Neodiprion lecontei: one gene and its partner. The main gene of each other region encodes a partner of the protein of the gene in region 2 in a complex. Links are inferred from orthologs where the notes say so. Each region holds a gene or a part of one and is shown on either strand. Other genes may lie near its edges.

What was found.
Region 1: the proteins of rab3 GTPase-activating protein non-catalytic subunit (region 2) and rab3 GTPase-activating protein catalytic subunit are in contact, whole or in part, in a cryo-EM structure (PDB 8VYB), measured with the Homo sapiens proteins. The link is inferred for Neodiprion lecontei from reciprocal best matches to the Homo sapiens genes RAB3GAP2 and RAB3GAP1. Residues at the interface, in NP_036546.2 of Homo sapiens: Arg197, His198, Pro199, Gly200, Ser276, Pro277, Phe278, Asp279, Met281, Lys282, Ser285, Asn286, Ile287, Gly289, Phe290, Asn291, Ala292, Ile294, Arg377, Phe378, Gly379, Leu380, Pro381, Asp382, Arg385, Cys395, Thr397, Leu398, Arg407, Arg415; in NP_036365.1 of Homo sapiens: Thr19, Ser21, Trp23, Glu24, Glu142, Ser143, Asn146, Leu147, Leu149, Ser150, Ser153, Ile154, Ile169, His170, Trp173, Arg174, Met176, Arg187, Asp189, Glu191, Met192, Val193, His194, Leu195, Arg196, Pro199, Tyr202, Ile211, Ser214, Lys215.

The regions. Positions count from the first base shown.
Region 1 is NC_060261.1:12,355,675-12,369,536, reverse strand, and holds the start of rab3 GTPase-activating protein catalytic subunit, read right to left. Parts: upstream 7,378-13,862; 5' UTR 7,239-7,377; coding exon 7,043-7,238; intron 6,872-7,042; coding exon 6,586-6,871; intron 6,308-6,585; coding exon 6,171-6,307; intron 5,379-6,170; coding exon 5,165-5,378; intron 5,043-5,164; coding exon 4,634-5,042; intron 3,744-4,633; coding exon 3,529-3,743; exon of another isoform or gene 2,351-3,528; coding exon of another isoform or gene 2,064-2,350; intron 1,887-2,063; coding exon of another isoform or gene 1,707-1,886; intron 1,501-1,706; coding exon of another isoform or gene 1,068-1,500; intron 997-1,067; coding exon of another isoform or gene 401-996; intron 1-400. Other genes in the region: leucine-rich repeat and fibronectin type III domain-containing protein 1-like protein, read left to right, coding at 401-996, 1,068-1,500, 1,707-1,886, 2,064-2,350; WD repeat and FYVE domain-containing protein 2, read left to right, coding at 10,580-10,740, 11,910-12,051, 12,440-12,645, 12,755-12,994, 13,283-13,421, 13,500-13,699. UniProt on the Homo sapiens protein: Catalytic subunit of the Rab3 GTPase-activating (Rab3GAP) complex composed of RAB3GAP1 and RAB3GAP2, which has GTPase-activating protein (GAP) activity towards various Rab3 subfamily members (RAB3A, RAB3B, RAB3C and RAB3D), RAB5A and RAB43, and guanine nucleotide exchange factor (GEF) activity towards RAB18.
Region 2 is NC_060262.1:35,769,235-35,786,484, reverse strand, and holds rab3 GTPase-activating protein non-catalytic subunit, read right to left. Parts: upstream 10,264-17,250; 5' UTR 10,193-10,263; coding exon 10,108-10,192; intron 9,984-10,107; coding exon 9,873-9,983; intron 8,984-9,872; coding exon 8,902-8,983; intron 8,821-8,901; coding exon 8,694-8,820; intron 8,579-8,693; coding exon 8,377-8,578; intron 8,304-8,376; coding exon 7,976-8,303; intron 7,822-7,975; coding exon 7,595-7,821; intron 7,436-7,594; coding exon 7,213-7,435; intron 6,936-7,212; coding exon 6,556-6,935; intron 6,471-6,555; coding exon 6,090-6,470; intron 6,011-6,089; coding exon 5,810-6,010; intron 5,725-5,809; coding exon 5,343-5,724; intron 5,210-5,342; coding exon 5,115-5,209; intron 5,036-5,114; coding exon 4,787-5,035; intron 4,719-4,786; coding exon 4,545-4,718; intron 4,416-4,544; coding exon 4,234-4,415; intron 4,093-4,233; coding exon 3,871-4,092; intron 3,789-3,870; coding exon 3,498-3,788; intron 3,419-3,497; coding exon 3,266-3,418; intron 3,136-3,265; and 3 more. Other genes in the region: acylphosphatase-2, read left to right, coding at 902-1,016; exportin-1, read left to right, coding at 12,647-12,844, 13,612-13,806, 13,898-14,248, 14,661-15,383, 15,579-15,813, 15,944-16,107, 16,362-16,496, 16,601-16,744 and 1 more. UniProt on the Homo sapiens protein: Regulatory subunit of the Rab3 GTPase-activating (Rab3GAP) complex composed of RAB3GAP1 and RAB3GAP2, which has GTPase-activating protein (GAP) activity towards various Rab3 subfamily members (RAB3A, RAB3B, RAB3C and RAB3D), RAB5A and RAB43, and guanine nucleotide exchange factor (GEF) activity towards RAB18.

The DNA of each region.
Region 1 (13,862 bases), on a different chromosome or scaffold from region 2:
ATTTAGTGTAGTAAATTCACTGCCACAAGATGGCATATACTGAAATTGGAGTTTCCGATATTGTAAGACTGCTTATTACATTTGAAATATTATTAAGCGCAGATTCACCTGTCCTGAATTATTTGCTTCATATTCAATGGTGTTAAAATTGTTTTGGTACAAGCAGAGACGTTCTATAATCTGCTGAGACTATGTGAAAACCGACAACTATTAGAAAAACGTTGAGTTGTTAGCATATCAACTCTGGTGGAAACCTTTCCGAAATGCGATGAAACGCTCTAAAATTTCTCTAAAATCATAATATTTGAATGAAATTTCTTTGCAGTTTATGAACGAAAACTTTCTACCAGAAATACTCTGTGTGTCGAATATCAAGTATTTATAGAGATAACAATTTTAGAACTGGTCTGCCCTACTGGAGTGATTGCCGTTGGCACGGTAGAAAGTGTGGATACAAAAGATATCGTAGGTGATGTGGAAGAAGACACAGTAGAAGCAGTCTTGCCACCAACTCGTACGTCGACAACTAGTACTCAACGGCCATCAACTGCACCCCCATCATCGTCATCATCCAGTACACATCGTTCGGTTGTTAATTTGGAAAAGATCACAGAAGACCCAGTTGTTTCTACAACAACATTGCGGACAACCAGCAGACCCTCCATGAGTAGAACCGGCAACGTTGTCATAACCAGAACGACAATATCGCCTCTGAAGCATCAGCAAGATCACAGTATCTTACAACAACACCAGCCCAAACCGCCACTCGTCCTCGGATCCCCTATTTACAAAATGACTAGGGGATCCGACAAGGGGATCATCGTCAAAGACGTTTTGAGGCAGGATAACACAGTCATCATCTACTGGGATACTGAAGGCCTGAACAGTATTGGATTCAAAGTAATTTACCGTCTCTTTGGTGAGACTAGTTTCAAGTCCGGTCCACCGCTTGGCAACAATGAGCGTGAATTTAAAATAAAGAATGTTCCCGCTCAGGTAAAAATGTGACATTCAACCGTCTACAATGTTTAAATCGTGTAATTCACGTATTCAGATCTTGATTTCAGGAGTGCATGATAGTCTGCGTTGTTTCGTCGGAAGAGACAGACATGAGCCCTGCGAATGTTCCGTATAACCAATGCAAGGAAGTGAGGACAGAGAATTCGCCGACCTCAAACATGGACAAAATAACGATTGCAGCCAGCGCTGCAATCTGTGCGACAATCGTCGTTGCCGTCGTGATCTTCGTCGTCGCGAATCGACGAAGAGCCAGGAAATTGCACACCCTCCATAATCTGGATCAAAATAAAATGGGTGGACCTATCGCAGGCTTACCGGTCAATTGTTGTTCAGGTATTGGGCCAACTCCAAGCCCGGGTGGACCGTTGTCTTCATTGGCGACTTTGAGCGCATTCAACAATCAAAAGGACTGGGACCAAGTATCAGCCTACAGCACTAGGAGCATCCCTAGGCCAAGAGTTTTCCCAATGGAACGCCAAGGTTGTATGATTTGCTCGATATTTTAAGCCAAGAAAACGATCCTAAGTTTCAGCACAACCCACGATCCAGAGGCATGATACTTTCTCTGTGAAGTCAAGTTATCACACTCTGATAATTATGGCTCGTCTGTACACTCAAATTGATGGAACGGTCGATTTTGATTCCATTCATTGGGATATTAATAATCTTCATTCGTTTCCTAATAGGTTCGATAAACAGAGCTGCATGTATCGATGAAATGAGGCCGCAAAGTCAACATTTTGGTGTCGGAAAAGTCTCGACTCGGTCAATTGCTGACGGACAGTCACAGCATAGTTTTTCGAACAATTCGACACGATATTTCGGGTCAAATCCCGTACCATCGAATCTTATCAGTTCACGACCAGGTGAGTTCAAAGTTCCACGCTTCACATTTTTCCTCCGATGAAAATTTGTTTGCTCCAAATGTCACGAAAATTTTGTGATTCAGAGTTCTGTTTATGGCATTTTATAAAAAAATTTACACCAGGATCAGTATCCATCACTTATAGGCTTTTTTGTCAATAATTCTGCTTATAATTCAGAATTGCGGCAGTCACGCCAGTCTCTCGCAGCGGCGTCGGACAGGCTTTCACGGGCCAGCTTCCCGACCAACCAGGCCCATCAGCCGCACACATCAGCTAGGCGACAGCGTCCGAGATCGCGTAATCGCACATTAGAACAAGACCCGCCTCGCCCAGGGAGTAGGTACAGTTTAGCAGACTCAAACCACACTCTGAACAACTACGAGGAAAACAACTGGACGGATCATGACATGGATATTTATATGGCGCGAAACCCAACAACGAGGGGTGGTCTTGTACCATTATGATCTTAATGTGTATTCTTCATCATTCTGCTCAACCATGTTAGAGAACCAATGGGCCCCACTATCTGAATCAAAAGTTTGGAAAAGAATATAAATCCTTTGACAAATTTCCAGTAATATTATTTGTACCGATGATAGTGCCCTACTATGTAATAGCAGTGAATCTGAATAAATTCCAGTATCATAAGCTACGATGTCATCAACAATTTGTAAAAACTACTTTTAATTGAATAATTCAAAATCATTACATTTTGGTGTTTTAGATCCAATTCTAATGTTTTCAGGCTCATTATGTTCACTATAGAGGCTTTCAAAGATCACCTTAACAAAATTTTACAGACAGTTATCTCCAGATTGGATAAAGAATATATTTCTGTAAGTACGGTGCAAAGAATGTTAGTCAACAATTAGATTTTCACGTTATAACTATACTATGACATAAAATCGCTCGAGAATTTTCCAGGGTGTCTGATTAGTGAGTAAAATAAGCCCATATTAGAACCGATTCAAAAACACTAAATTCAAACGTTCTAATTATAAAATTTGTTCTCAAATTGATGATATCTGAATTTGTATTATTCAAAGTCGCACAGATTTATTTCTATCACATAATAGGAGAGCAGTTTTAATCGCATTCACTATCATTGGCACAAATAACATTTCTGTAATTTTTTTCAACAATTTCTTCCTTTTTCCCAACTTTCGATTTTGGGTCCATAAATTCTTGAAATCGTTTAGCGTAAGTCAACTAAAAGTAGCTAGGTATTAATGTATCATACTATACCGCTTAAGTTCGATTAAAAAAAAATTAGGTGTTGAAAATGTTTTTACAAAAATAATGCTGCCAGACAGTTTTTACGTTTTTTTGAAGATAAATTAATGGTAAAACTGTCCTCACCACATTTTGTGTTGCGACAGGAATCGTTGATTATGTAGTACAAGAAAAGAAATCAAAGAAAAGAAACTTTGTTGACGATATAGAGACAGTTTCCCAGATAATTAACTTGACTAAAGGTAATTAATCAGGCTAACATAAACGTGACTTGTAAAGGGAATGTTTAAAAAAAAGTCTAGGCATACGCACATGGAGAATATTATCAATTCAATTCTAGAAACAATGCAGTACTGCAGGCTTCAACCGTTTGATGATGCACACTAATGAAAACTAACTTTCTACTTACCCTGGAATGAGGATATTTCTTTCCCAGCGAAATCTAATCTCTTGAACAAACTCGTGCCACAGATGCGCCAAAGCTGGTGCTCCACCAAGGTTGTGTGCACAATGAGCAGCGACAATAGACAACCGCCACACAAGACTGTCTACTGCAGCAGTTTTTACACCTTTCCACTGGTCATCTTCGACATTATATGCATTTGCATTGGCATACGGTTGTTTCTGAAATTGTAAAACGTAAAGACTGTTATGATCATCGCGATAAATCAAATGTTTGTTTTGGTAAAAATTATTTTCAATAACGTTTAGAAATCTTGACAAATTTAGTAACAACGTGAATTTCCGACTGTTTCTCACTTTTTTTCTGTAAAATCTCTTTATAGAAAATCCTTGATATTTGTTGCAATCTCTTGAAAAAATTTCATAAACTAGTCTTATTGCAAATATTCTTTTCACAAATATATGTCTAGATATTTTCAAGTACATTTTAGAATTATTATATAATAATAATTTCAGAATAATTTCAACTGCTTCCTCAAAATTTTTAATTTTTCTCCAAAACCCATCCCAATTTTCCGTAACGCGGTTCCGTCGGAAAATACGCAGTAATACTAGAACTCTGAATTTTCAGTTTTATGATACAAAACAAAGTTCTGACAAAATAGCAATTTTCAATAAAAATTCAATTTTAATTTCGAACATGACCTGATCAGAAATAGCCATATATAGTAAAACTCGGAGTTTTTAAATTTGTCAATATAAAAATGTTGAAAACGCATCTGTAAGTTGTTTTGAGAAACCCATCCGATTTTATACCTCAAACTTGATTTGGTCAAAAATAGTCAAAAACTTAATAACTCGGATTTTTCCACATTGCTGGTAGAAAATGAAGTTCCTATCAAATATTAGTTCTTCCAAAAATTTTCTAGACTTTTGTGGATTCCCTCACATGTTATCAGAGTAATTTAAACTTTTCCAGTAGAGGTAATGCTGTTTCTCAGAACTATTCAAAAACATTGAATATTTCTGAAAAATTTTTACAAAAGGTCGTGTCAAATTTCTGAGAGTTATTTTCACCCCTGCTGTCACTGTAGAGAACCATTAATGCTCACCGGGTTATCTTCAGCATCTGGAAACAAGAAGTAAAGTATTGGTAAGAGTATATCTTCCGAAATTGGACCCTCAACTGGTTTTGTCTTCTTGATTGCCGCCTTGCTAACGACTGTTGAAAGTGCCGGTACTCTAGACTCCGTTAACGCATTGAAAGCGGAGCTCAAATTTTGACCATCACCTTCAGTATAACTTACAAAATCACCTAGCAATTCAAACAACGTCTTCTGGTTAGAACACAAGTGTATAAAGTCTATCAAATATTCGCCAAGCAAACAGGCTGGGGATGACGTCATTTTCACTTGAACAGACCATTCTGGGGCTTGTTGCGGCTCTAGATCTGTATAACTTTCACTATCCACTACAACATTTTCGGGCATCTCTGGCCAAGTTGTGAAAAGGATTAGCTCTCTGAAAATGACACGAATGGGTATATTCAACATCAATCTATCATGATTCAATTGTTCCTTGCTTTGGAAGTGTATTATTGACTGAGTAAATTATAATTCCAATACATAAATGTACACTCTCACCCGACTGGATCAAATGTAGCGCCAAACGGAAGCTTGCCAAGTTCCGCGACTCCGAGTGTTTCACCATGCATGAAATCAAAATCTGGTGGATCCTGTGTCCATGTACTGCTGGTCCAATCTTTGAGCAAATATGTAAAACGAGCAGAGACCATAGCAGGGTCCAAACGGATCCCACATCCCTCAGTAATTTTTTGTTTGAACAGTGTTAGTAAGCCTGTAATCAATAATTTGAAAAAACAAATACTGCTATTCAGCTATAAATTACTTCCCAAGTCATATTGCATCATTGAAAATAACTTGTTGTGAAAAATTTTGACTATTAAATATGGAATTATGAAGGATATCAGTCACATGTTGTTAAAAAATGTCATGGCTGACTCTAGGATTCAACATTTGGTTGTGGTGAAGCAATGTGGTGTCGAAGCAGTAATCAGCTGATTGTTTTAGGTTCATTTTACAATTGTTAGAGAACTAAAAAGTTTGTGCAAGTCGTTGTGCGTCTAGTTTATCCCATTTAGTTGATTCATGCTTAAAAATGAGAAAAAAATAGATTTATATGATTAAATGTGACTCTTTTCTAGCAGCAGTAGTAGGAGAGACTGCGGTAAAGTGGGTTGGTTACAAATTTTAGAATTTTTTTTTTCACATACTAAGAAGGTCCAAAAAAATACTTGTCGACAGTAAAGTGAAATAGTTGCGTTACCTATAGTTAACCAGCAATAGAAATATGACATACTAACAACCATAATAATTTTTCTTTCTCAAGTGGCCCACTTGGACGCATCTCTATCCTATATTATTTTGCCACAGTGTTAAATCCCAATCAAGCATGCAAGTACCATAAAAAAAGTAGTATATACACGGTCATATATTCGTTGCTAAACATAGATTCCGGGTGAGAGAGATCCACTTATGCAGACGCCAGGTAGAACAGTTGCGTCAGTTGCATTAGTATTCAGCAACGAATAAATAACCCTCTAGGTGACGTCACACTGATGAGACTAACCATTGAGGAATTTACAGTATGGAGGAACTTTCTTCAAGTGCACCATATCGAAATGGCTGCAGACTCCACGCCCCTCACTCACGCCTAGGTAAAATGATTGCCAAGGTTCTTGAACTTGTACAAACATAGGAACTTCGCTGCAAATACCATACGTTAAATTAAAGATACCCGAACAATATTCGACTGAGCTACCTTATATAGTGCAAAAGACATTGCCATTCACATTTTCTGTATGTCATTACATTTCACATCACAACTATTTGCATTACTTGTACATTCTGGGTGTAATATGCATCTCACCCTATTACAATTGATATATTGTTATTACATCTTCCAGATAATCAAGAATACAGAAATTGTTTTGGCGTGCCTCATTGCTTCTGCATGCATTGCAGTCTTTTCCCAATATACGAACCAATTTGAATTATTCGATGCAATTGTAATTGAACTGAGAAGGATTTTGATGCGAGTCTCATCAGTTATCGCAACTTCTTTGGCAGGACTAAGTATGATGAACTCTCTTATTCCATAATATTTTGCTAGATTTAGATGTTCCTGATCTAACGATGCAAAATCGTTCGTAGAATTCAGGGCATCCATTAGACATTGACTTCTCTTATCCTCACATTCTTCTATGGAACTTTGAATCGCTTCGTCACTTGGAGTTATCAAGTTGATATGTTTGAGAGAAAATTCTACATCTGAAAAAATGAATCACCAAAAAAGCTGATGCATTATTGCTAGTGTTGATGGAAGAAAAACAATGGCACAGAGTCATCTAGCGATAAAACGAATTTGTGTGGTATGTTTTTCATTGCAATTGCCAATCCAAAAAAATTGTTTAGAAAGAAATAACCTGCGCAGTAACTAACCAGCGAAATGTACATTTTCAGATGTTGCTTCCCACGAGAGGTTGATAAAATCTCCCTTTTTCAAAGGTGAACATATTTTGCTGCGGGGTAATTTCCATTCTCGAATTATCTCCTCTAAACGCGCAATAAATACTTCCCACTCGGAAGCTGTGGTGAAGTCGTGATGGTAAGTGTCTTCTATTTCAATATTATTCATATTGCAGCTATTCAAAGCTTCACATTCGGTTTGATACTTCAAAATTTCTAAACGTCAAATTTATAGCAGAAGACAGAATATGGAAGAGCGCTCACCGATGGCATATCATAAGACAGTTGGAGCTGAGTCGGTGTTAAAAACATGAAGCCTATGCATGAAACGCATTTCTGCGAAATCCCCAGTCGCATTACGAAATCAAGTTGTGAGGGCTAAAACTTCCCTAGGAGTAGGGCAGAGTCGGCAGAGTCCATAAGGTGTTTCCTAGCGGACGCATTTGTCGCGTTCTGCTCAAACCATATTGGGTGCTTTTCATTTACTGACTCAAGTCGACTTGTGTCGCTATTTCTGGTGTATTCCTTCGCCCAGATTGGCCGGTTACACAAGAAATAGCGACACAAGTCGATTTGAGTCAGTAAATGGAAAGCACCCATTTGGCTCTCAACGAATAGATACCATATTAAAAATAAACGACACTATACGTATACATACACGTGACATACACCATGCGCCCAACGCACCATGTGGAGATTTCCACACTTTTATAATGTACGCCGAATGATCTCGAATGCAATTGGTTGAGAATTCAAGATGGCCTTCATGCGGCGCAGAGTGCGATTGGTTCTTGACGGTTCTTGACCATGTGAATTGCTCCGAATTCCAATTTGCACTGATCGATTTGATCAGTAATAGTCAAAAAGTATAAAATCGGAGTTTTTTAGATTTTCAATCCAAAAAGTAATTCGGAGAGAATCTGAATTCTTTCCAGAACCTCTTTAGAATTTGAGTCATACCTGAGATATCGCAATAATTCTAAAATTCTCAAGAATTCTCAAGATTCAAGAAAATCTATTCTATTTTGTGACGCTAAATAATTGCTTTTATAATTAGTTTTATTTAGTAAAGTTTATACTTCTTACGGAGTAGCCCTGGTTTCGAAGTCCTTATTATATGAGTACGATTTCGACGCATCGACAAGTTGTGAATTTGTAACTTACGAACGCAACGAATGCTTGAGTAACTTATTTAATTTAAGAAATTTCATAACATGAACAGAGAGATAATCAGACATAAGATTCTTAAATATACCGCATTTTTTTCTTCAATTTTGTAATTTTGTTTATTCTATGTTCGTGATTCTTCTCTTATGTATTGACCAATAGCATCATCTTCTGCAGCAGGAATTATTGAGCTGTCGGTAAAATTCGAATCGGATTTTTCCGTTGTTTGCGATGGAGTCGGTTGATTATGTTTGATGATAATTTTCCATCTTAAAGTCGCTCCAGTCTTGTCCGCTCTCTTCTGATCATCAGAGGCGGAGGATGTAGCTGCAGTTGTAGATTCTTCGTTATCCGGTTCACGTAAATCTGTGTAATTTTTTGGCCGATTTGTGAAAGAAGATTCCGCTATTGGCTTAGTTGAACACTCATCAGGTGAAATATAGTGCACCTTAAACTGGGAATTCTTGATAGTAGATTTACCATTGGGATGTTGATCATTTTCTGAGAATTTATTCTGGTGATAAGTTGATTCACACTGTAATCCCTCCTTTCGTGCCTTTGAGGATTTTTTAAGGTGAGGAATGCAGGATGCGCTGCCTATTTTACGGGAAATGAGTGAACTGGCTTTGTTAATATTTTCATCCCGAGAAGGAATTTCTTCGTCAGCAAGAACGGTAGATATTTCTTTCGAAGTATTTGAAACTGTGATGTACGCATTACTTTCGTGTTTACTTCTCTCTTTTCCTTTTTTCGATCTTACGCTGGAACTCCTTTTGGTAGATCCAATTTCTGATATATTTTCAGCTAACGATCGTTTGCTTCGGGGTGGATTTAATGGTTGTGGATCTTTTGGCGGTCTTTCGGTCATTTTCAAGTCTGGATGTAGAGCTGAAAATTGATTCAAATAATCATTCTCTTCTTCTTTTCTAATTCGCGAAGACACGTTTCCGAAGTAATTTGAGGGACCAGCCTGCAAAGTGTCCTCATCCAACAGGTCTTCATCTCTGTTAAATCTCAAATTTTTGTTCGATGGTCTATTTGACAAATCGCCTCGTACTTTGTTTTTCAGGAAGTATAACGATGATCCCACTTCTGTCATTGCTGAATAGACTTGCTTTTCTCTCATCTCTTTACCAGCTAAGGGAGCATGTGTTACTTCTTTATGATTTTTTTCGTCGACGAATTCCTGATAATCTTCTGCCGTTGCATACAATGACAGAGGTACTCTTTTAATTACAAGTTTCTCAACAATGTAATCGCATTCGTTTGGGTTATATTCCTTCAAAGTCAACCTTCTCTCCCGCTTATGTCTTCGGCAGCAACTTAAAATTGAAGCCCAATTAGTGGATCCATGACTGGAGCATGAAATATCGTCGAATATTCTACTCCGTTTTGTGTTGCTGGCTGAGAACGTAGATTCCAGTTCTTTAACTTTTTTTGCGCTCATAATAGTAGATCAAACGCTAAAGATTACATCACCGTCACTGCAGATTGTAACATACCTAATCAGACTTATAATTGCCATTGTACGTAATCATCTCGGTTTTTATTACGAGGCCAACTATGATGCAGCTCATCACGCCGGCGTGGCGAACAGAATTATTAGATTAGAATATGTGTTGTAAAGAAACTAAATCTCAAATATCGGTTATCAAAATTTGGCGCGTAAATTGGTAATCAAACAAAATGTCACTAGGCGAATATGGTATTCTGAAATGCCGAAAATAGCTGATAACACGGAAAATTCTCTAGGAGTGAGATACAGCGGATACAGCATGGAGACTAGGCTAAAGAAGTCCCATCTCTGTACATACATTTGATCCGGCATCAAAAATCCATACACTAAGGTTTGCGCTGGCTGACGCTGAACAGCACTGAAATCGCAAATATCCAACGAATGGTGAAAAGACAGAAGTAATTTCATTTTAGTCACGATCGATGTATGTATATAGTCAATTCTTATCAACTTCACCTCGGAATATTACAATGACAGCGCTGTTCTTAATGAAATCTAAAACCACTAAACGACAAATTTTCGAGGACAAATTTTTCGCATGCTCCTCCATTAGAGATGGGTCTCCTTTTTACTCTAGTCTCCCTGGGGTACAGCCTTAGAATGCTCTGAGGGTACAGCATCAAAATACTACATGCTTCATGGAGTAAGAAAGGGAACATTATTGGAAGTGCTGCCAACTAAACCAGCGTACTGATTCATTTTACGAACCATCGGCAGGCTTGAAGGTCTTAAGATATTCTTAAATCCGCGATTGTAGGAACTGTCGAAGTCTGACAACTGTCAAATGATAATCATACAGGCGAGGTTACGACATTAAAAAAATTGAAATGGCAGCTGAAATTAAACCAGCACCGGGTGTAAACAACGAAAGATTTAGTACGACTCGAAAACCAATTCTATTATCGAAGCTAGAAGGTTGTAATGACGACGTGAATGGGGCGATAATCATACCCCGAGAAGACGGTGTTATCAGTATTTGCGATGACAGGTATGCCCCTTCAACCCCAAATATTACGCATTAATTATTCCGCATTGTACTGTACAGTTCAATCTGCTTCCGCACTGTATAATCGAAAATCTTGTAAGTGAAGATTCGAGTCTTTCCAGTCTTGATCTACATTATTCGTATTTCGAATGTATCAAGAAAAATTCGACTTTATCTGTACTTCAGCCTTTTCACATTCTTACTTACGTTTTCTCGAGTTGCCACATACAAATATTGTTAGGGTAGAGACATTTGCGCGTTCGACCAGTTCATTAAAGGCAAATAGTTGAGTCGCGTACGACCGTATTTTTTGTGTCCCTAAATAGCGTCATGTCAAATACGTCCCTGTTTGTTCAATAATAATGATCAAATCATGAAATAACGCTGGTGACTAAATTACTCGTATAAATAACTGGCTACATGAGACCTTTGTTCGTCTACTGGCGCGTTACGGCTCTGCCGAATTTGAAAATATGGACATCCTAACCTCTGACTAATCACAGAAAAATTACTTTTAATCTTGCATAGCTTATTAAGGAAACTAGTAACCCGATGATTTGTTACTATATTTTGAATCATCACAAACTTGAGAATACACCGCTTGTTTTTGATCAAATTCTGTGGTTAAGAAATACCTTTATTTTGCCAACAAAGCCTTTCAAAGCAATTCTTCCTTGTGTCCAAAACTCGATTTTCCATCCTTTTTTTCCCTCTTAGGTTGATATTCTGTTCTGTAATTTTAGTGTATGAAAAAACATACTCTTCAACTTTGTTTACAAATTGTTATAAATCTTTGTTGTAAATTTTTTTTCTCATGTTTTGTGTCTTACCAGGAGCTACCTTAATATACGGCAATCCTGAGTGAAAATCATCGTTTTACAATGACAATTGCCTTGCATGAAAAAAAAAATAACTAAACACCATTTAATATAACAATAAGAATTAATGTAAAGCTTTTTTCGACTCACATAATCCAAAAGAATTTCAATTCATTGAATTTAATTACAGCTAAATAATCGTTACTTTGTCAATTTTTATTTTGAACACCAATTTTATTTTTGTCTCTAAATTGAATAATATTCTTCTATAGCAATTCCATTGATGTCCTTTTTCATTCAAAAATATTGTTTATTGGATGTAATTATTTTTCCTAATTTTCGATTTCTGTGCAGGACCGTCAGAGTATGGCTAAAACGCGATTCAGGGCAATATTGGCCCAGCGTATGCCAATACATGGGTGCTGCTGCAACGGCAATGCATTATTGCGCAGAAACGAGACAGCTTTTTGTCGGCTTAGAAAACGGAGCTATTAACGTATGTAATTGAATTCCACAAACAATATGAACTCTATAAAAGTTTTCTCAACTAAACTGTCCAATCAGTTTATCTTCCAGAAAATATTGAATTAGTTCTGACGCTTAAATTTCATGGTATTTTCATGAAGAAGAATGAAATTCAAAAGAAAAACCTCAGATATTTAATACTTTAATCGATATCCTTGTGTCGCTTATTACAGTCCTTAAAATTATGGTGAAACATTGTTTCTAAAGTGATTTATACTCACAAAATAGAACAGAACTGAAATTCTTTAAAAGAATTTATTTATCAACTACGTGAAAATACCTTGAATACCAGGATTGTCTTGTGTTGTTTATTCCCTGGAATCCCAAGTTTGGGAATGAATTGTTCATATTCTTCAAAGGATTTTATATTGGAAACTGACTACAACCGCATGACTCCAATGAGAGAGTGCCTTTCTCATCAAGGTCGAGTTACTGGAATTATATTCGCTTTGAATTGTGAATGGGTACTCAGTATCGGCCGAGATAAGCTTTTTCAATTTCACTGCTCAGAAACCGGACATAGGCTTGGTTCTTTTCAAACAGATGCTTGGTTCACGGCATTGCAGTATCCTTTTGCATTGATTTTTTGATTATAAAGAACACGCGAATCGATTAAAATAAATTTGATCGGCAGTGCTCGAAGATCTGATGCAAAAACCTTGACGTAATCACAGATTTGCATCATTGACCAAACATGCTTTTGTCGGAGATTATTCGGGACAGATATCGATGCTCAAATTGGAGAGCACTGGTGCTACTCTAATCACCACTCTGAAAGGTCATACAGGAAGTATCCGCACGCTCGCCTGGAATTCTGAAAAAGATCTGTTATTTTCTGGGAGCTTTGACCAAAGTGTTATTGTTTGGGACATCGGAGGTTGCCAAGGCACTGCGTACGAACTTCAGGGGCATCAGTATGTATTTTTTGTCAAACCAAATTATGCAGATCACAAAGATTATGAAATCACTGAAATTCTGTGAAATATTTGAAATTCCTGAAATATTGTGAAAATTGATGAAATCATTTGATATCTCCAAAATCTCTGAAAACGTATCAAATTTACCAAACTCGTCAAGTATTCGTTATTGATTAGATAAAGTTATTGTTTTTTCATTCCTTCAAAACGTCCTCTCTCTCTCAAGTGATTATTCACTCTTCTCTTGATAATAGTAGGGTAATGAAATGACTTGTTTTCCTTTAGCAATAAGGTAACAGCTTTGTGCTATGCAAGTGCAGAGCGCTTACTTCTTTCTGGCGGTGAAGACGGAGTGATAGTTGTCTGGGACATGTCCGCCAACAGGAAAGAAACTCCGGTTTGGGTTGAGTCTGACACATGCCAGGTAATAAAGTGTTGAATCCCCCTCATCATTGCACATTGTAATATTTTATGCATAGGAGTGATTCATTGCTACTTCCAGTCTTGCGGACGACCTTTCTTCTGGAATATCAAAGCTATGATGGATCAAAGACAACTTGGATTGAGGCAGCATCATTGCCGCCACTGTGGTCGTGCGCTTTGTGCTCGTTGCACAACTCAACGCATACCTATTCCTACCATGGGTTTTGAGTTTGAAGTACGAGTGTGTGATCCATGCCATACTCAACTAAAAGCTGATAAGTAAGTGGTGCCAAAAAACAAGCTTGAAAAATATCCTGAAATTCTTAGATCTTTTACAAACGCATACTCTGTCTTGAAAAAGTCCTGTCATTTTGTTAGTTTGCAAAAAATCATAAAATCGTCACGCAAATAAATTCTCTATCCCACCAAGCGTGAATAAAGA
Region 2 (17,250 bases):
CTCATATTTTCGATGATCTCACGCAGTCACGTAAGCTTGCACGTAACTCAATATAAGAGTGACTTCAACGCGTGAAATTGCAGCATAAGTCTTGATAAAAGTAAGTGAACTGTTTGTCGACGTCTCTTTCGTACGCTTTGGACATCCGGTACCGTCGACATTGTGCAGTTTCATTGGCACGACATTTTTGTCATTAACGATATAAATCAGAGAACGGTCGTGCGGTTAAGTTAAGTTGAAATTGTAATTAGTCCCATTGATGTCACCTTCAAAGATGCACGTGAAATAGCATTTCGTATTATAGGAAGTCGCGTGATTAATCCTGCAATTTCTCTTATTGTTAGGGAAAATGACCCGAAATATCGCATTATTGTTCAAACCATTGATGCAAGCATTGGGAGTGTGAATAATTTTTCTGCCTTCAAAGTACACAATAAACTGGAATGGCGATATTTTGTGTTAACAGCTGTTATTCTCGGTACTTTGTAGCGAAACGTTACGTTGCTAATAGGAAAAATGTTTGGCTCGTGCGTCATTGGAAATTTGCCAAATGACACGGCGACGACGATGCCTCGGAAAGATTTTTAATTAAAATAAATTCGTGGTGTCAAAATGACCGCACCAATTGCGCACTGTGGAGACTTACAACACTTGACACGCAATAGAAAACAAATCTTGATTGACGCGTACGCTAAAGGCTCACGCTTAATTATAGTAACAGCCCAGATAAGTGAAACGATTAAAGAGAACGATTGTGTAACATACCGCAAGTTTGTTTCTTTTTTTTTTCCCCTTTTTTCAACAAGTTCAGATTTTTTGCAGATATTATGAAAAACCTGTCTGATTACCAATTCTACTCACGATTACTACGGAAAATGAATTTTTTTTTTTTGTTTATTAGGGCGGAGTGGCTGTCGACGGTGGGCAGTCCTGGGAGTGAAATTCATCATTGCGAATTCACGAACTGGGAGAATGTGGCACGACCGCAATTTCAGGGATTTGTAATTCGGTTTTAATTTTAAGCAAGAAATGTAAAATCAGGGTGATGGGTAAAATGAATCCGAAAATTCATTTCATATTTATATACTTCCAGTTGTTGTGAAAATAACACCTTTTGAAAAAAATTGTTGAATGAAAAAAGCGTCGAGCATAATGAGATCGATGCGTGAAAAATCAAAAACAATATTGCATTTTTCAAAACAAGGCACAAAAAAAAAAAATACTTGCCATGTGAAAAAAATGTTTCTCGGCTCTAAAATTTGGCAAATGAATCGGAAGTTTGATTAATGAAACAGTCAAAGATATAATTCTAAGTTCATATCAATGTCCCATTTTGTTATGAGTATTCTATGGAAAAAAACACCGGTGATCTTATAGCAAGAGTCATTGTACTCTTGTTTTAGTTTCCCATTTTAGAAATTTAAACACCAGGATTATAGGGGTAAAAGAATTGAAATGTATCGACCACAGAGGCTATTTTGTATAAATGATACCTCTGGTGTATACATCTCTGATGTCTCTCAGGTTTGGATTATATTTAATATTTAATTATACATGCACGAATGCCGAGAATGTGTGAGAGTATGCCATAATTATACTATTTTATTTATAACTCGTTGAAGCTGTACAGTAGTACTTAAAAGTTCAAAAATCTTTGGACTAGTTTTAAAGAGAGTGGAATATTTGAATCATAAGAATTACCAACTAGATATGACAGACTTTTAGTGAAGATTCTCTTACTTTTATTGAATTACTTTGAACTAACAACTAGTGAATATTGTTTAGCTGGTCAATGATTCCTATTTGTATAGACTAGTAATCTTAAATCGTTAAGTTAAGTACCAAAGAAAGAATATGTGGAAGAAAGATGTAAAAAATAAACGTTGAAAATTTTCGTCACATCGTTCATTGTAATATATATCACCTGGAATCTGAGACGAAAATGTGACGGCAAATAATATGTTTCAGTAGAGTGAGAAATTTTCAGTTAACGTCCCGTCATACCGTAGAAACACAATGAACAAAAACTGTTACTCCTGCAAAGCACTGCGGAGGGAAATATTTATTGTACACTGATGGCACGCGAAAAAGAACACGATACCAGGACATGGCGGCAAGCCAATATATATATGAGATCTTATATACATGGCTACATTGGGATGGTTATACAAAAATTCTGAAAAGTCGAGCAAGGAATATATCCAGATTTTTTTATTTTGTACAAAGTTATACACATTACACGTACTGGTATCATTATTTAAATACAAGTAAGACAATAGTATTTACAGTAATAGGTTTCACGTGATGAATTCAAATAGTTAACGTGTTATTTAGTAATCAGTATAATTTTATTTAACATCATTATCTGAAAACAATTATTGAATTATCTATCTAGATGTAATTAACCATTGATGACGAATATGTTAAAAACAGTCATTCAAAATGCTCAATGATAAATCACATAATGCTATTTTCAATTCGAATTGAAAACATGATTGATAGATATAATTGACGAAAACAATTATCGGTTGCGATATTTTGGCTTTGATGTATGGCATTTAGTGAACAGTTTGCATCCACTGTTTCTAAACGAGTATGTAAAGTATGTAATATTATAATTCAAATGATAATAACAAGGTAATAACTTTTATCCATTACGCATTCCCTTATTTCGAAATTTTTCATAAATTAATAATATAAACTAAAATTTTTGGTCATGCATACTTCGACTGCGATTTAGATAATTTATCATTTTTTAAGGAATGTTTTGCTGAACTAATGATATTTGTAACATCTCAAATTTGTGTATTTCACTGAATTGTCAAGACAGCTTTGAAAGGATCATCTTAATTCATTTTGCTAATCATTTACAATTCATGATCAACAGAATCATGCAAAAAACGTGACATTTTCTACCGTTTTTCATTCTGGGTTCACGTCTGTGATTTTAATACTTTGTTGACAGAAGTAAAGACTGGCTCATCACGTTTTACCTTCATAAATAAACGTAGCATCAAGCATCAGTTGCGCGATGTGATAATTAGGATATGTTTCAGGTAAAGTCCTTGAAACCCTTTGAATAAGTTCTATGGTATCGCTATTTGAACAACTTGTATATGCTGCGCTTGGATTACACTAAAACAGAGTAATTGCACATGTTCATTTCATTTGATTTAATGAGACATCTTCATTTTACAATATAATAAACCAGGATGGAATCAATCACATTTGAGTCTCAATAATGTATGTCGTTAATTCAACTTACCAAGCCCTCGAGATATGTAGTTAGCGTAGGACTTATTCTTGATATTTCTTCCAGAAGATCTGGCGTTTTGGATAGGTAAGCCATCATTCTTCTTCCAGCTATAGGTAACAAATTAATTGCAAGTCCCTCCGTGTCATTTACCGCCGTAAGGATCTAATATTTAATTATATAATAGTAAACAGTCGTGTAAGCTTGAAGATTTTGTGTGACTAGTTTATTTCTCAGTTCTCACCTCTTCAGCCAATCGGTCAAATCCGTTAATATATAATTGACAAACTTGGTGAATTCTCAGCTCATCGTTATTTATTTTCCATATAGAAGCTAGTGTTTGACACTTGCTCATCCACGTAATAGCTTGCGTAGAGCTAAAGTTGTTTTCTTCCGTCGTTTCTTGATGAATCGAGTCCATAGTGGCAGTGATTACACGACAAAGAAACTCGGTTCTTGCACTATCGCGTTTTTCATCTCGAAACCACGTCAGCAATGCTTTGTTGGTGATGTCTTGGAAAAAATATGGATGCGACTGTAAAAGTGAGAAATTCCGTGAATGTAAAAGTATCATTGTCCCGATGTTTCTGTACATAGACGGTTTTTTAAATACCCACCACAGAGTCGAAAAGAATGTTCAAAGGCTTTTGTACTTTCAGATTAAAGTAAGCCATCATGTGCAAGACGTTAGCCAATTGCAGATGTAGCATCACGAGTTCATACCAAGCAGGAGTTTGAGAAAGTGCTAGAGCTGCGAAGGGTTGCGGACCTATGGGATGACTTTCCCAAATTTCTTCTGATTTTATAATCGAACTATTCTCAATTTCCATCACTTCTGCCTGAAAGTGAAGCGATTAAGAAAAATTCTGTTCTCTTATGCAGTATTCAATTGGAGCTTGATTCAAGATCTTTTTGTGTAATTCATGGCTTCAAACTTTCGTGACTCTTACACAATGTGGTGAATGATATAGGATACTTACGTCTAGAAATATATCCAAGAACATAACACAGAGTTGTAGTAGTGTAATTAGTTGCATATCAGAAACACCAACGTCCTGTAAACAATATCTTTCTTTTGGCAACTTTCCCGACTTGTTCATCAGTTTTGCTGCCGCCTCCATCCTTTTTTTCATGTGCAGTGTCCAAAGAAGGCAGCAAACTCCTATCAAACAAAACAACAGAATGAAAGATATGAAATATTAAGCAAAATGTACGACAGTCTGACGTATATATCATTTGGTTCTTTGTATCCTGGTTGATATATTAGACAAAACAATATTTTATCACAAACCTTGTCGCATTTGCTTCATAGGAATTTGTCTAAGAACAGCTAAAGCTGCTTCAAGCGCATCAAGTTGCGTGACATCCTTATTCCAAGTCATAGTAAATTCCCAACAAAGATTAGCAAGCAAAACACTAGTCGTTAGACTGTACGGGAAAGATTTCTTCAATACAGTTAATTTTTCTGAAATATTGGGACACAGTTTAGTCAATGGGAAGGGAAAACGTAGTGAAATCAGCTATCTTACCTACCTAGAATGTAACTTTGTGCAGTTGAATCTGCTTGCGCTTCACTGCCAAGTTCTACAGAAACGGAGAGAAGTTTCATTTGGTCTTGCTGCGATAGTTCCATTGCTGCAGCTTCATCTAACGATTCTGCTATTTTTAAAGAATCCATTGACAATTGCATTTGATCAAACTCCACATCTGTTGTGTCTATCAAACGAGCTGGATCAATTCCCGTTGAACTAAGCCACTTGGCAACGATTTCTGATACTGAACCTTATGAAGAAGATACAATAATTGAAAAATATAATTTAATTTCGAGTTATAAACAGTTCTGAACGTGTAATGCACATACCTTTGCCTCTGGAGAGAACATAGCCCAAAGAAATATTCATACTTTCAAATGGCAGACTGAAAAATTCTGTTGTGTGGTCTGATGGTGGCTTTTGACTGTAGGTGTGAAATTATTATTCAAAGTTGTGTGAATGATCTATGTCAGGCAGATCTTGGATTAAATATGAGAGTTATTTTCTACAATTGAGGAATAACCATGACAGCACATGAGTTCTATTTGACAACTTACCTGACAATAGCATTTAATATAGCTATATCTTCGAGATTGCTGATAAGGGCTGTAAATTGGCAAGTATCTTTGCTTACATTTTCCCAATCACTTGTTGAACTGGAATTCTCTTCTTCTGGGGTTCTATTAAGCTCTTCATCTAAGTCCTCCATCTTTTCACTAGTATTCCCATTCTCTGCATCTTCATCCTTGTTACCATTACCATCCTTCTGTTCACTGTTGTATGCTGTATCTTTGCTTTTTTCAAGCTTCATTGCCACTGCTCTACAAACCATCGCAGCTGTCAGTGCATTGAACGGATTTGTCGAGTCTGACAATATATTTCGCATTTCTTGCCACCACGAAGATATCTCATTATATTCAACACAAATTTCTTCTACCTCTGAAACATTTTAGAGAACTTGAACTGGTGTTTTACTAATATATTGAATAGCACGGAAATTGAATGCTGTAGCTGCAATATTTACCTATCAGAGAACAAATTGCGTGAAGAAGTTGTTTGAATCGTTTCAATTCGACTTCCAGTGGGGCCCCAGGTTTTTTATGCAACCAATAAATAAGTGCAAATTGCATTAGAATAGCTGGCTGAATGCAACTGTGTAGAGCTACATTCTGCCAATTTGTAATCGGATCATCTGAATACAACCAGCCCTGATACAACAATTGACCTGCAATAATATATAAAATTAATAAAATTATACTCACTTTGAACCTAAGGATCACTAGTGCGCTTCAGCAAAAGCTTACAAATGTTGTGTTTCTTTTCTTCCGGTACGTCTTTTTTTATGCCAATAAAATCTCCTGAACCACCAAATTCAAAGCAAGATAGAAAATCCACAAATGCACTGCCATCTTCTTTGAATAGGACCTTAGTTTGTGATCTACTTTTTGGCTTTTCGAATTCACTCAGCGTCTTTGATAACTTTAAAATACGTCGTATCTCTCTTTCAGATGCTAAAAGAATTCCAGATAACTGTTTACAACTAGGCAAGCTATCTGAAGCGATGGTATTGTACTCAGGAGGTTGATTGAATTGCAGGTAAACAGATTTGTAAAACGCAATAACTCTTTGGAGCCGCGTCGAGGTTTGATAAAGGGATTTGGCAGCTGGTTCAAACTCATCGTCTTCTGGAAATACGATAAATCTTCAATAGTTTATAAATTGATATGTCATTAGTCGTGTTCCTTATACATGCGTCATAAAGCAACTTACTATATTGCGATAGGTTTTCAACAAATACGTCCAATGCTGCTAGTAGTGATTCGGGGGTGATATGCTTGTTGACCATCAACATTTCTACAGCCTGCAGGCGAATTTCGTTCGTTTTGAAATCCATACATGTAGAAGTAACTTCGTTAATTAATTTCTCACTGTCAAACTCTTCCTCCCTTAGAAATGCTTTCAATTTTTTGAGCAGATGTAAGTCTCGAGCCCTTTTTCCATTTTTACTACTCAGAGCGAAGTGAAATGGAACAATCACTTCTTTCAGACCTCCCAAAGGGTCAACAAACACACAAGGATACTGCGCACGGTTTGCAGATGACATCGTCATATCATTTAAACCCAGAAGACCGTAATTTGTGTATAGCAGCCTGCAACGATTTCTTGTAATTTTAGATATATCACAGATAGAATAACATTAGACATATTTTACGAAGGTAAAACAAAAAAAAAAACACTAGGATGGTAATTCTTTCATATTATTGTAATGGTCTACAGAGCAGCTTCGCTTCTTATTCTCCGAACTGTTAGTCTTGTGCGAGATCAGATCTGGAGAACTAATTATGATTGCAAACATTTCAGTAGCTCAACAGTTGTCTATAATTTCGTGAATAGAGGATATAATATGTTAACAGGTGCATTACCTACCGTCCATTTTTACTGGCAGAAAAGGTTGCAATTTTGGGTCCTTGTTGAATTCCCCAAATATCAATTACTCCTTTCTTTGGTGCATAGATAGTCAAAAATAAGGCAATTCGCCGACCGTGAACATTACCACTACTACTGCTACTGCTGCTGCCACGACTTTTGCGAGATCCATTGTTTTTCTCCTCCATAACTTCAATCCACCCACATTGAGCATTCCTATACCCTGGGAATAGAAATAAATATGAATGATGTAGAGATAATGCCCGTAGTGAGTAAAATTAGTATTAATCTCATGTCTATTACTCGGTAAAATTTTGTAAGTCGTCTCATTTTCGAGAACAAATGTTGCATAACAGAATTTGAAGAAGAAATTCAATTATACCTTTCCACATTCTTACAGCAACACCACGTCTGTTATCAACCAACGTAACTCTCCCCATAGCATCTGATACGATAGATAGAGCCCTATTAGGGCTTACGACAATGCAATCCCCTTCTCTCATAATATCGCTCAAACCAAATCTGCAGATCATTGGTTCTGCTGGTTCGCTTATAACTCCTTTGGTCTTTTCTGGCGATGTAGGAGTTTTTTTGTTTCCACGAAACCATCTGAAATATTTTCACAAATTTTTGACAGGGATAATCACTAGGTTATGAAATATCGACACAATGGATGGCTGAATTAATTTATCTTGCCATTTTCGATTGCAATTTTTTTAGTTGCTAAAGTTTATTTAAAATCACATGACAAATAGCTACTTACGGAACAGCAGTTCCTATTGCACTTGCTAATTTGCTAGCCATAGCAATCGCGACGTCAGATAAAACTGGAGCAGCCCCACCTTCCAATGCGTAATGAAAACCAATAAATGGTCTTTTGCCAGTTGCCATAACTAGACTGTGTTGTGGTGCACTAGAGCGATACGCAGCATTATAGCCACCACAAATAGACGCAGACATCAAATGGTCAAAGGTGTCTACGGATGTTGTACCAATGACTTCACTGTCATTTGTGATTCCTTGGTTCTTAAAGCCCCATTTTTTATATGAAAGATTTGCTGCCGGAGGCTTAGCATTGCAATTGGCCTGCACTAGAAGATCAAAAATTGAATGTACCAAACTCATGCCTTCACTATCAATAATACACACATTTAAAATTACTACCTCTAGCCAAGTGGTTTCTGCATGCTCTCAAGGTAGAAAACAGCGGAAACCCTTGCATTATGCAAACTGCACTGTTATACAGTACATGGACCTCTTCGGATAGTCCAGAATCTCCAACATGCCGGGAAGGAGAATGTGATTGACATTTGATTCCCAAAACTGCTTCATTGTGAAGCTGTTCGTCAATCAACAATGCACCAGTCTACAACAATTAATGATTTGGTACGTAATCTGAACAAAAATGACTTATTTGGCTTGTATTATACAAATTGGAAAAAATGCTCTAACATTTCTTTTCATGGATAATTCTGGTTTACCTCTGTATAGAACCTTATAAACCCACTAGAAAATCCAACGGCCATACAGGTCCAATCAGGACCGCTACCAGCACTGGTTTTGCCTAAAGATATAAGAGGTAGACATGCCAGACATGTTATCTGTTCACTGAAACAAAATAAAAGTTGTTGAATAACCCCAATCTGTGGTGGAATATCATTCTAGCCCAACGAAATTAGAAAAACTTACTTCTCCTCATCCGTTACATCTCCACTCCATGTAAGATGAAATTTCATTTTCACATCTCCAGGTTCATGCGAATCCCATTTTGCTGTATTGACAAACAGTGTGTGAAAAATTACAACGTTTACGGAATTAATTGTCGTTATTTGTATGAAATGAACTTTAATGCTTATAGTATAATACAGGCATATCAATCATTGGCTAGTATTAGAAAGATGTTAAAATTTTTGAATACTCAGTATTATTAAGTTTTCTACTATGCCGTGATGAAAAATTGAAAATATTTTAGGTCCAGTAATCGGCACCTTAATCTTGAATTTTAGACGTGATACTAGCAAGATAATGGTTGAAGATGGATCTAAAATTTATGAAGAACTTTACCGAGCTATTTGGCTTCGCAAATTGAATATATTCAGTTCACGTACTAACATTTTGTATATTCTTACTCTATTATTGCAAAAATATATATAGTATGACTTTGTGTCTCTTATGCTTACAAAATTTGTACTATTTAACGTTTTGTCGTTTGACACAGAATAAAGTTATATCTAGCCCAATTGTGGTGTGGAAACAGCTATGCATTTAAAAGGCTCTTGAAAGGCATTTTATTTTGCTTATACCTCTTTTTAATGTAGGGAAAAACTGTTCATATAAGCTCGTAAGCTAGAATGAGTTTGATAGGCTTATTCGAAAACATCACCGCTACTCTATTTGAGCTCTGCGATATAAGCTTGTCAAAAGCGGGGTAAGTTTTATTGAACTAGGAACTATCATCGATTCTGTGGATTTTATTTGTGTGTTTTTAAAAAGTTTATTTCGTATGAAGAATTCTGTGATTCTATCATCGGTAATAAATCAGATGCAGGTCGAGATGATTGTATCGCTCCTTTTGTTGTATAAGAAAGTCATCAAGAGGATGTTGTGGTGATAAGCAAAAACTTGTACTGTTGCTCAATGAGTTTTTGCTGTAAACTTACACGTCAGAATGACCATATTTTTATTCCAAGCAATTGCGAGGACATCCCCTGCTGGTGATAAGGAGATAATAAGATCTTGAAGAGGTAGTTCTTTATCCGGTACATAATCCACTGAAAGATTGGGTATAAATATGTAGATATAGATGGGTGTAACGTACATATTGTTTATTGGATAACCTTAGTGGTTACTGTTATTGATGACAGTTGAGATTTTAATTGAATGGGATTTTCTTACGTTTGGAGCCAGCATCTCTGAGTAAGGAATTCTTGACGTTGGGCAAATCGACCAAATTAGCGATTCCTTTGATTTGGCACGACATTTTCGTGCTGACACTTTATTATAAATATGTTGTTAAATGACTCTCATCTCGAATATGCATGAATATGCAGACTGTAGCGGAATAAAGTTTGATGGAAATTGACTGAAAAGTTAGTAGAATTGTCAGATCATATGACACGATGTTTCTGAGAATGCTAGTATATATTGCGGAATTTCAAATAACGCGTTCTAAGTTCCTTAAAAGAGAGGATAGATGCAGCGTACATTATGTCCGGATAAATTTTGGCGCGCGCCGAATAGAAATAAATACAATTTCGAAATATGATACACTTAAAAACAGAATCCTTCCGTAAATTTTTATTACAAGGTAAAAATGAGCACACGTGTTTCCGTGACGTCATGTGACGTCCACTGACGTCATACTAAACTATCGTTTATGCGATTGAGGATTGGTCGAAATTGGTGTAGCCTACCAATGGTGAACGTTGTTTCTCCGCATTTGTCGCGTAAAATTTTCGGCCATCTTGTTATTATTTTCGAAAATCTTTAGGTTGGGTTTCGCGACGACATAGTTGACGGGTTTGCTCGTATTATCGGTGGAAAAAATCACATGAAATTCGCATGAAACCTGGGGAAAGTAGGTTTGACGTACATCGGCCTCGGTGGGTATATTATTTTAGTGTATTTGATTCTGATAGTGGAAGAGAGAGAAAGTAGAGAGTTGGAGAAATGAGTGAGAAAGAGCGAAACTGCGAGTGTGTGGAACGAGGAGCGAGAAGTGTGTAGCGCGCGGGAATCGTCGACTTGTGTGTTTAGCCCTTTTGTGCTTGTGGTTAATTACTCTGAAACGTAACGACTGGCGAGAGAAAGAAAATAAAACGTCCTTTTTTTTACCCCGGGGACGGGAAGCTGTATGAAAGAGTTTATACGGTAGGTCAAAACCTTCAATCTCAAATCACCTTCGCCCAACGGGCAACGACGCAATGGAAAAACGGCAGCCGGGCTTCCTGGACGACCGAATTTACACTATTTAACCTAACTCCGGTAGTCGTCGTCGAGTCTCATTATGTTAGTATCGTTTCCTCTACTCATCCGATTCCACTCTAAATATTACACTATATTTCAAAATCCGAAATTCACATAACCTTGTTTGCGATTGTCAGATGTAGGTTAGGTCGGTTGTTCGGTCGGTCGCAGTGCGGTGACCTCCCCTGCGGCACGCTTCCTAGCATTTTTGGTTTTTTCCGTTTTTTCGGCACGTGGAGGAATCGGGCTCCTTGAATTCTCAACATTTGTTCGGAAAATTTATTTATCCCCAAATTAATCATGGCACATGATCCCCCCTCCCCTCCCTCCCCTTCCCAACTCTCTTCTGAATAGACAAAGTATACATCAAGCACCATCCCATTATGTATGGCATGAAGTTTAGAATAATGGATGCATCTTTTTTGAAGGTTCTTTGAGATTCAGATTTCAGAATTTCAGTGACTTTTTGGGCATGTTTCCTTAGCAAGATCAATTTCGATGCTATCGGTATCAAAAATTGGATGGAAACTAGGTGCACCAAGCATCGTACTTACAAATTTTTAAATCTTGTATCAGTAAATGAAAATGTTCTTAGATTGAGAGTTGTTGCGTTGAAATTTAATCTAAAAACAAGTAATGTATTGTCCTCATTGAATAAACAAACATACGTGATTACACATGTCGGGGCATGTGCTTAAACTTTGATATCTAATTTTAATTAATCATTGAGAAATCAATTCGAAAGTTAATGATGTTTTCATTATTTTTCTTTTGCTTATTTTGTTCTTAAGCACTTTGGAATCTTTCCATGTAGTCTCATATTTCAATATTATTGAAATTGTAATGATTGAACCGCAAGTGCATCATACTTCATGGCAAATATTGATCAGTTATCAAATTTGCTAACAAACGCTGTTTAAGTGCACACCGAAACAACTTGGGAACAACGTATTCTATAGCGGTCAATGAACATTTTTACATTGTAATTTTTGTTTATTTATTCTATCAAGCTGAAATTACGTTGTCAGACCATATGCTTCCGGATTTATCATAATTCGCAAATTTTCACATATATTCTAAAACCTGAGTTTTTGTGTCTTTCTACACTGCACGAGCTATGCTTAAAAATTATGTTAGGTAAAAAGAAACTCGAAAAAATTAGTCCCTCAGTTGGGCACTTTGTTTTTAGGTACCCATATGTAAATAAGATTGCCTAGGAAATATTGTTTGTTTAGAATGTTATGATTATAAGTTATCAGTATTCATTAAAATTTAGTTACCACAATTCTACTGTTTACATGCAACTGTTAGTCTCTATTTGATCAGCAGCAACCTCTAAACTAAAATATTTACTAGAGTCGTAGTGCAGGCTCATCACTGTTGACGCATTACAAGTAACAATGCAAATAATGATATTTTTTTTGTGTGCAGATTGAGTGTGTGAAAGCAAGGGTAATAAGTGAGTGCAATGGCGACACTTGCAGAGCAAGCGTCCAAGTTATTGGACTTCAACCAAAAGCTGGACATCACGCTCCTGGATAATATAGTCGGATGCATGTATACTGGGGTTGGTGAACAACAGCGTGTTGCTCAGGAAGTGCTAACCACCCTCAAAGAACATCCAGATGCGTGGACACGAGTTGACACCATCTTAGAATACTCACAGGTGAGTTATGCCAATTGTAGAGAAAACTTTGACCATTGAATGAAAAGTGTGAAAATCTTTTTATTCAAGTAATCATTTCATAATCAACAGCCGTCAATGTAGAGAGACATGGTCATGCCTTCCACTAGCATCACCATAAATGATTTGGTTAATTCTGTAACTCTTAGCTGAAAGTTATTCACACCAAATTTAGCACCGTTGCCTTTTTGGTCTATTTGACATCAATTACCAAATAAAAATAATTCCCTTCAATTTTTCATTGTATTGCAACAAAGAAAAATATCAAATTATTATAGTTAGCCATTTAAGTTGGTGATTTCGAAAATTTAAAATTGATTGCGAAATTCTATAGACCAGAAAGTAAGAAGAGTATCAATTTATTTTTTTTGGATAGTTGGAATTTATTTTAGACAAAGAAAAAAGTTCAGCTGCACAGAATTAATAGTTCTCACTAAAGTTAACATTTTGGAATAAGTAAACTTCAGAATAAAAGTGGAAACCTTCAGCATCTAATTTTTTTCAGTGGTTCTAACAATTTGTATAAAATTTCAATCTTGAAACAGTTGAATCAAGATAGAATTAAATTACGAGTTCTGAAAAACCTCAAAACTCTGAAAGTTTAGTATGATCATGTCAATTTCACAGTGATTTAAAAAAAAAAAATGGTCATTATGATGTTCATTTTTCTCTCCGAAATAAAGAATCTTGAATGAACAGAGTATGTGAATGAAACAGGAATGCGTCTAACTTTTTCATTAATTCTTTAGAATCAACAAACAAAGTACTACGCACTACAGATCTTAGAGCAGGTTATCAAGACACGGTGGAAAGTTCTACCAAGGAATCAATGTGAGGGTATTAAAAAGTATATTGTCGGGTTGATCATCAAAACTAGTAGCGACCTGGAAACAATGGAGGCCTCTAAGGTCTACTTAAACAAGCTGAATATGATCCTTGTGCAGGTAATAATTGAAAAAAAATAAAATAAAAGAAAACTGTTTTCTTTGCGGGAATACTTATTATCACTATTTAACACGTGATGCTGATGTTTAGGTTCTAAAACGAGAATGGCCAAAGAACTGGGAATCCTTCATAGGTGACATTGTGGGTGCCAGTAAAACCAACGAAAGCTTATGTCAGAATAATATGGCTATTCTGAAACTTCTCAGCGAAGAAGTGTTTGACTTTTCAAGTGGTCAGATGACGCAGACAAAGGCTAAGCACTTGAAGGATACAATGTGTAGCGAGTTCTCTCAAATATTCCAGCTTTGTCAATTTGTCATGGACAACTCACAGAATGTTCCTCTAGTTGCTGTTACCCTCGAAACTCTTCTCAGATTCCTCAACTGGATTCCACTTGGATACATATTTGAAACCAAGTTGATCAACACCCTAGTTTTCAAGGTAGCCAAATTTTCATGTTCTAACAGAATTTTCAATTTATTGTGCTACGAAAAGTGGCAATTCGTGTTTTATCATAATAAATGTAAGCAAACTTCCCCTTGAAGGAACTTTCCTCAATTCACTTGAAACAATACTGTAACTCGGAATATTATACTCATGATTTAATATGCTTCACTTGGTACATAGCATTTTTATTAATTTTCTAATTTCTAACAGTTGAACATGTTTATGTGAGATGTAACACTCAAAATTTAAATGAAACTCTACTTCAAAGATAAAAATTTCAGAGTAGAAACCCTTTTGAACATTCCAATCCACAATGAAAATTAGAAAAAATGTATCTTTTTCAGTCTCAAAATTTGTTTATTAGCATTTGCAGAACTGGAAAACTAAGTAGTAATTTTGTTTTCAGTTTTTGAACGTGCCGATATTTCGTAATGTTACATTAAAGTGTTTAACTGAAATAGCTGCAGTCACAGTAACAAGCTACGACGAGATGTTTGTGGTTTTGTTCGCTAACACAATGCAGCAATTGGAGCAAATGCTTTCACTTGAAACGAATATCCGTGATGCGTATGCTGTAGGACAGGACCAAGAACAGAATTTCATTCAGAACTTGGCGATGTTTCTGTGCACATATCTAAAAGAACATGGGCCGCTTGTTGAAAAAAAGCAACTGAATGAAACACTTTTAAAAGCTCTTCATTACCTTGTGCTGATTTCCGAAGTCGAAGAAGTTGAGATATTCAAAATATGTTTGGAATATTGGAATGGACTGGCTGCCGATTTGTACAGAGAAAACCCATTCACTACGCCATCGCCTTTGTTCGTAAATAAAAATAATTTAGCCATACCACCACGAAGGCTATTTTATTTCCCTGTGCTGACCAAGGTTCGGTATATTATGATCAGTCGAATGGCTAAGCCTGAAGAAGTATTGGTAGTGGAAAACGAAAATGGCGAAGTCGTCAGAGAATTCATGAAAGATACTGACTCAATCAACCTCTACAAAAACATGAGGGAGACCTTAGTTTATCTAACGCATCTCGACTATGTTGACACAGAGAGAGTTATGACCGAAAAATTACAGAACCAAGTCAATGGTACGGAGTGGTCTTGGAAGAATCTCAATACCGTAAGCTCGAATTTAATAGCATTTATTTTAGACTGTAAGCGCTGAAAGTGCATGTACTATTATGCCAAAAAGTAAATAAATTATGAGTTTGTGCTTTGAATTTTTGGTAACTTAGCATTGTTGATGAGAATCGAATATACTTAACAAGAAATGGATTACGGTATGACAGATGTAACTATTATTTTCCTGGTATAGTTATGCTGGGCAATTGGGAGTATCTCAGGTGCGATGCACGAGGAGGATGAAAAACGATTCTTAGTAACGGTAATCAAGGACTTGCTTGGATTGTGCGAGCAGAAGAAAGGCAAAGATAACAAAGCAATCATTGCAAGTAACATTATGTACGTTGTGGGCCAATATCCAAGATTTTTGAGAGCCCATTGGAAATTTCTGAAGACTGTTGTCAATAAGCTATTCGAATTCATGCATGGTGAGAGATGCATTTTTTATTTTATGTATTAGCTCCGTCTACATGTAACTATTGAGCTTATCCGTTGTAAATACAACTCCACTTCAGTATCTCATTAATGTAATTTTCTATGCCATTTTATCCCCTATAGAAACACACGATGGAGTACAAGATATGGCCTGTGATACTTTTATCAAAATAGCATTGAAGTGCAGAAGACATTTCGTAACTATTCAGGTTGGCGAAGCTATGCCATTTATCGAAGAAATACTGTCTACGATCAGCAGTATTATTTGCGATCTACAAACCCAGCAGGTAATGCCAATCTTTTTACCCACCAGTATATTTGATCAAACCGCCTAAAACGTTGCGTTTTAAATTTTCTGATTTGAGTTTGTTCAAAAAGAAATCTTGATATTATAATTATTCAGGAGATCCGTAACTCGAGTTAGTTCAAGCAAAAATGAAGTATTATTCACTAATGAAATCTTGAATTCACTATTTATTTGAAACAGAACCCCTTAAAACTTGTGTTTCACGGTCGAAATTTTTTTTTTTTTTTTGTACAGGTGCACACGTTTTACGAGGCAGTTGGCTACATGATTAGTGCTCAAGTTGATACATGTGTACAGGAACAGCTTATAGAGAAATATATGCTTTTGCCTAATCAAGTTTGGGATGACATAATTAGTCAAGCATCAAAGGTAATTAGCAAAACTGTCTGTATGATTTATTCAATTGCAGAAGTAGGAAAAGTGAAATAATCTACATAAAATACTAATACTCATCACTTCGGATTTTTTTTTAGAATGTCGATATATTGAAGAATCAAGAAGCTGTCAAGCAGCTTGCTAGCATCCTAAAAACAAACGTTCGAGCTTGCAAAGCTCTCGGACATCCTTACGTCATGCAGCTAGGAAGAATATATTTAGATATGTTAAATGTTTACAAGGTAAGCAATTTTTTTTATTACAAAATTACGAACAAAAAAACTAGAACTAACTGTGGAGTAGCATTGTGAATATGTAATAAGTCGACAATGAATGAAGTTGATAGCCATTTTTGTAATTTTAATAAATTGATATTTTCAAATACTTACAACGTCTATGGTTGATTAAAATTATACATATATGTGTTTCTACAGCTCTCAGTATTGTTATTTTTCTTATCCTACTGAACGTGAATTTAATATTCCAGGTTATGAGTGAAAACATAACTGCAGCAATAGCTTTAAATGGAGAAATGGTTATGAAACAGCCGTTGATCAAAAGTATGAGAGTTGTCAAAAAGGAAACGTTAAAATTAATCTCAGATTGGGTCAGCAGATCAAACGATCATCAAATGGTGAGTTTTTATTTTTTGAAACACTCCTCCCTCATTACTTATTCATAGAAAGCATTTTACGGAGTGACTCAATTTGATTCTTTACTCGTTGTATTCTAAGCCAGAGAGTAGAGT